2 linked regions of the Mus musculus genome follow. The protein of the gene in region 1 interacts with the protein of each later gene in a biochemical or structural test. Links are inferred from orthologs where the notes say so. Each region holds a gene or a part of one and is shown on either strand. Other genes may lie near its edges. The genes, in order: Gopc and Sstr5.

What was found.
Region 2: the proteins of Gopc (region 1) and Sstr5 form a complex in vitro, tested with the Homo sapiens proteins (2 studies listed by BioGRID and IntAct, with this or other methods). The link is inferred for Mus musculus from reciprocal best matches to the Homo sapiens genes GOPC and SSTR5.

The regions. Positions count from the first base shown.
Region 1 is NC_000076.6:52,336,927-52,340,755, reverse strand, and holds the end of Gopc (Golgi-associated PDZ and coiled-coil motif-containing protein), read left to right. Parts: intron 1-902; coding exon 903-1,033; 3' UTR 1,034-3,732; downstream 3,733-3,829.
Region 2 is NC_000083.6:25,491,627-25,494,412, reverse strand, and holds part of Sstr5 (somatostatin receptor type 5), read left to right. Parts: intron 1-2,124; 5' UTR 2,125-2,159; coding exon 2,160-2,786.

The sequences.
Region 1 (3,829 bases):
AAATATGACTCATAGCTGTGCGTGGTGGCACACACCTTTATTCCCAGCACTCGGGAGGCAGAGGCAGGTGGATTTCTGAGTTCGAGACTAGCCTGGTCTACAGAGTGAGTTCCAGGACAGCCAGGGCTACACAGAGAAACTCTGTCTCGAAAATAAACAACAACAAAAAAAAGAAATATGACTCAGCCAAAATGCATGCCATACAGCATATTACTATTAAGTGCGTCAGATAATGAAAACTTTACCTTTGGTAGGTTTTAGATCTTCCTCCGACTTCTAGGCTGGCCGGGAACTCATTGTGTAGACCATGCTGTCTTTGAACACAGGATCTTCCTGCCTTAGCCTCTCAAGTGTTGAGGTAAAATCTATCTGTTGATTATTGTTTAATACAGATCTTTCTAACCTTCTTAGTGGGGTTTTCAGTCAGTCATATTTACTTAAAACCCCATTATATGTTAGGTAAATTAACCAAAATTTATTTTAATATCTAGCTAAACATTATCTTGCCAACAGATTGTTTAGCAGTCAACTAGCATATATTTCAATGAATTGAAGTTAAATTATATAGAAGCAAAATATTTGTATTTCAGTAAATAATTGTATAAATACAATTGGGTTTTTATAAGTTAGTATGTCAACCCTAAGTTTTTTAGAAAACTGGATTGCATTTATTTCACAACTTTCAGGTAGCTTCAATAGTTAATACTTTAAAAATGTATATGATGTTTCCTATCTGCTATAAGATGAAAGAATTCCCATAAGCACTATTGATTTGATCAGGGTTAGCTTGCCTTATATTGCTGCTAATAATTTCATTGAACATTGTTTCTTAGTAAAACTGTAAAACTTAGACATATTTTTGGCCAGAAATACACGGTGTATTTTGTGCTCTTGTCTCCCAGGGTATAACAAGAAGGCAGTGAGGGATGCGCATGAGAATGGGGACGTGGGGGCTGCAGGTGAGAGCCCTCTGGATGACACTGCTGCGAGAGCGGCTCATCTGCACAGCCTGCATCAGAAGAAGGCCTACTAACCCAGACACGCTGCTTGTCAGACTCGTGGAGTGTGGGGCACTAGAGAAGACGGTGACAAAGACTGCACAAGATCAGGGAGGCTGTGTGTTGCCTAGAGAAAGGCGGGAACCTCAGGGCTTCATGTGAACAATTCTAAGTGCATAAACCCCTGTTTTCTGTGGTATACCTTAATTAGCTATTGCATGGAAGGCAGTTTTGATTTTCCTGGAATCTAAGCACCAAAGCATGTGTTTCCCAAAGGGGTTTTACTAGGCTCTTACAGGCCAAGTGGATGCTATTTCATTTGGCTCCTTTTCATGTATAACAGGACAGTGCTAACTGGAATTCTCTAAGTACCCTTTAAATACAGCAGAGTAAATGATACCATATATTCCCTAAGGATAACTGCGGAATTTCAGATGACAGAACTTTACTCAGTGAATTGCAAAAATCTAGGTTGACATTTTTGCTTAATTGAAAATTTTGTTTCAGGTTTTTTTTAAAAAGTATCTTGTACATTCCTGATATCTAAATTAATTACTATCTTAAATCATTATGATGAGTTCACTCTCCAGGTAACTCAACTGCAGTACAAAACGGTTTTCTTTAGGCAATCCTGTATCAATCAATGCTGCTCTAGGAATAGTTTGGGAAAAGTTACTGTGCATTTGACTTTGGACTTTTAAAGGAAACGCAGACAAGTGGAAAATGGCCTGTTTTCAATTATGTTGATCTGTGTGCATGGTATTGGAGCATTACACTGTTAATGTTTAGTCCCAAATGTTAATTGTCTGGAATCCACGAAAAACAGCTTTATACATTTTTGAGCTGTTCCCAAGCTTTGTCTTGTGATAGTCAGGAACATTACTATGTCATGAAATACATTGTGTTCAAACAGCAGTTGGCTTTAAGTACCTGACTTGCCAGTCATTTAAAAAGCCGGGGGCCAAGGTAGGCAAGATGAGGTAAAGACATTTTGGTACAGTGAGCATATTGGTTTTTATATCAGTATATGTTTGACTAAAGCAATACTCGTGTGCAAACTCTGTAAATGTATTAGTTCTATTGTATCAGAACTAAGTACAGAGTGCCTGCTCCCTTCTTTCCTGACCTACAGACAATTGCACCCTGCCTGCCGGGCAAACTGAAAATACTGTACTTAAAGAGGTGTGATTTTTGCTAAGTCACTGTTTTAAAGGATTTACACCTAAGGGAATCTTATGTGGGAGAAGCCTACATATATCGGGCTTTTACAATATCAGTATCTTCTTTCTTGGTATGCTTGTTTTTCCCAGATGCATTATATATTTGTTCAAAGTTAAAATCTATAAAATGTATATACTTTATTTTGTGATTTTGCTATTTATAAATTTTCTTTTTAACTGTTGCTCATTTATGGTCTCTGGGTGGTTTCGTTCTTCATAGTATCACCATGTTAACTGGTAACTGAAAGTGCACTTCGTATGTATATTGTTAGTGATGCTGAGATACCTTGTAGTGTAACATTGCCTGTAAACAAGGTTAGTATTTTAACTGTACAAATGAATAAACACGTTACATATTACTGTTTGCTCCTGATAGGCTAGACCTCTTAAAAGAAAGATTGTTTTTTCCTCAAGTATTCCTCCCACACCAAACACATACCCCAGTGCATGACTTGAGACCTTCAAAGTAGGTGGTAGCCATTGTATTCATTTAAGGAAAAAATGTTCATGGTAACAGATCTGAAATATTTTTGCTTTGACCTGAAACCATGCTGCTCCTATATCCTTTCAGCATTGCCTGGGAAGGACCAGGGCCATTTTATTTTCCTTTTTATTCATAGATTATATGCCTTATATACTATGATTGAATCGCTAGGAAATGTAAGCTATATAACCCTTTGAATTTTTTCAAGAACTTCACAGCAGATGTGAAAGCAAAACTTGGATGAGCATTTTCATGTGCTGCCTAGGAGGGATTGTGTGAGATGGGTACAGAATATATTTAGAAAGAGTAGTTTATGGTTCTACAGGTCCGTCTTTCCATCTCTGCTTTCTGGTTTGGAAGCATAGGAGAGTGCTGTGGCGTGAAACCTGCTCTGAGAGCATCCTGGTACTCTCCCAGGCCCACTGGAGAGTTCACTTCAGAGTGTGTGGTCCCAAAGCACTAAGTGAAAAGTAGTCTTTATAGTTCATGTTCATAGGAAAGATGCCCATATAACACTGACTCTTCTTGAACAAAGCCAAAAAATGGGGGGAAAGCTGTTGCAAAGCCATTACAATGAAAACGTGTAGAGCATGAGAGGTGTGTGCGTGGACATACTCACACTTATTGTGTGAAATTGTCTTCTGCAGTTTTCTGTTCTGAACATGATGAAAGTGACGTATTCGGGTTAGGGATTATTGTTAAATTAAATTTGAGAGAGATGAAGAGCTTGCAAGTCTGTTGATTAGAATTAAACAATTACAAATAACATAACCTGTCCATGGTGCTGGAATAGACCCCACAGCAAGGGGCTTATGTTGTTTTCATATTTTAAAACAAAAAATATATTAATTTACATATAAGGGGATTTATGATAATTGTATTATATCTAGTTGAGTTTCATATTCTTAATTAGCCTGTAAATAAAAATGACATATTCTACATTAAAGCAGTATTGATCAGATTTGAAGGAAAATAAATGTTTTCTCTTTCATTCACATTAAATATTTTGGTTTATTATGGGTTCTGAGTAGCTCCTGTGACTTGTATCATTGTGTCATGAAATACCCAAAGACTGAATCCAGCTGCTGGGGTAGAGTATCATAGATTGGGTAGGAATTGTTTAGGCT
Region 2 (2,786 bases), on another chromosome or scaffold:
CTACTAGAGACATGATTGGCCAGGAGGAGGCGTCTGGCATCCTCTCTGTGAGATGAAGTCTCATCCTTCCCCGTTATCCTTGTGGTCCCTGCTTGGTCTTCCTGTCTCTTCCATGTATGCATCTTCTCAACATCCCTCCGTGTAGTCTACCTCACCAATTCTCTCCTCCACACTATCAGATATCTAGATTAGAATTAGTCGTGGGTTTTGTGGGCTTCCTTTTTCTTAGTTATTTATTTAAATGACCCTATTTTTCGTTTTTTAAAAGATTTTTTTTGTTTTATTTTTGATTATGTGTGGTTGTGTACATGTAAATACAGATGTTCATGGCAGCCAGAGGTATCAGATCCCCTGGAGCTAGAGTTACGGGCAGTTGTGAGCTGCCTAAGTGCTGGGAATCAAAATTGGGTCCTCTGCAAGAACAATCTGCACTCTTACCAGATAAGCCGCCTCTCCCAGCACTAAATGACTGCACTTTTCATGCCCAAAGTCTGTCACTTGAAGGTTTGTGTGGGGAGGGGTGGGAATTGTTCTCTTTACCCCTCACTCCTCGTAATATTTTATCCATACTTTACTCAAAGATCTTGCACTTACTGAAACATGCCCATGGCGTGCTAGTTAACTTATTTTGCTTCACCCTTTCCTGGCTAGTCCGCTGCCAGCCACTTGCCCCTTGGCTTTCCAGGTCATCTCCTTAGCATCCACGCACCTTGCGGTCTTGGGAACGCTGGTTCATTGGCTTCATTTCCTTGCTGCTGCTGCTGACTCTAGGATCCCTCTCTCTGGCCTGCCTTTCCTTGTTCATCAGATGGTGGTTGTTTCTGCTTGATCCTGGTCACCCCAGGACTAGGTCCTGCCCTGACAGCTACTGAAGTGTCTCATGTGTGCTATGGCTCAGGCCACTGCAGATCAGCTGAGCAGGCCTGCGTTCCTGAGGGCAGCCTGGCTCAGCCGAGGACTCCTGCCTCTCCACGGCCTGTTCCTGGCCTGTGGCCTTCCAACACTTCAGTTCCATGATGGTTCCACCATAGGGACCAGCCCTGCCCCTCTCCTTCTTCCCAAGTGATGGAGGCATTTATTTCCTCCTGGGCATCTTTGTTTTTATGAAAGACTTCAAGCACAAAGAACCACAAAGCAAGGGCACAAGTGTGGGCACCTGCCACTCATCTGTCAGGCTGTCCTCCCACACCTGCCTCTCTATCTTCTCCACAAAGCCCACGCACCTGCCCAGTGTTCCAACTCTGCTTCCCATGGGCTGTGTGCCCCCTCCTATGCTATGCCCACAGCCTAGTGTCTTCCCATTGGCTGTTATTTCTGCTCCATGTGTTTGCCTCCCTGCTGTAGGCACCTTCCAGTTGCGTACTATGCACTAAGCCTGGGGCTTAAGGATGTCTGCCATTGCTGAGCAGGAGACAGACCTTTGCCCTGGACAGGCACATCAACCCAGTCTCTTCAGGGATGAGAAGTGGGCCAGCCACTATGTCATATGGGGACCTTTAGAGTCATTGCTGCTTCTGAGAGCCTCGGACTCTGCAGTGGGTAGAAACTGTCTACTGGGGTTAGCATTCCCTACACTCTCCAGGAGGGAAGGCCCTGCCCCAGAGAGAGTTCAGCCTTGAACTTACTAGCAGAACAGATCTGGGATGCTCCATGTATTGGGTATAGTGGGCTCACCACAGCTATGGCATCTCTCCCTCTTCCTTCTCTATCAGCTACTTCTCCTCATAATTTGGGGACCCCTGGGGAGGTGATATCTTCTGAGCTCACATCACTCCTGAAATGCTGCCCTCAGGGCTCTGAGAGGTTTTGGAGAGAGTGCTGGATAGCAGAACAGAAGCCAAGCCAGGGAAGTCGTGGGTTGTGGGTCCCAGGGCAGCCCCTGTAGTGTCAGTGTCAACAGATAATGGCCTTCTGGGCTCCTGGAGCCACCCATCCTCCTGTCCCCGCAGTGGCTTCTTCTTCCTCTCTAGCTTGTTTTCCAAACAATTTGCTTAATGTGATTCCTGGTCAAGTTGAACATGACTAAAGGTGTTTTTACCCATCACCGTCTGGCAGGCGGGCTGGGGACGACAGGAGGAAGAAATGCCTGAATGTGCCCACTAGTGACACCCTCTTCTCTTGCAGAGATACATGTGCTCTGGCATCCTGAACCTGACAGCATGGAGCCCCTCTCTTTGACTTCCACACCTAGCTGGAATGCCTCAGCTGCTTCCAGCAGTAGCCATAACTGGTCACTAGTGGACCCGGTGTCACCCATGGGAGCCCGGGCGGTATTAGTGCCTGTGCTCTACTTGTTGGTATGCACCGTGGGACTGGGTGGAAACACACTGGTCATCTATGTGGTGTTGCGGTACGCCAAGATGAAGACAGTTACTAACGTGTATATCCTGAACCTGGCCGTGGCTGACGTGTTGTTTATGTTGGGGCTTCCTTTCCTGGCAACGCAGAATGCTGTCTCCTACTGGCCCTTTGGCTCCTTCTTGTGCCGCCTGGTCATGACGCTGGACGGCATCAACCAGTTCACCAGTATCTTCTGCCTGATGGTCATGAGTGTCGACCGCTACCTGGCCGTGGTCCACCCTCTCCGCTCAGCCCGGTGGCGTCGCCCACGGGTAGCCAAGCTGGCTAGTGCTGCCGTCTGGGTCTTCTCGCTGCTCATGTCTCTGCCGCTCTTGGTCTTTGCGGATGTCCAGGAGGGCTGGGGCACCTGCAACCTGAGCTGGCCAGAGCCTGTGGGACTGTGGGGTGCAGCCTTCATCACTTACACGTCTGTGCTGGGCTTCTTT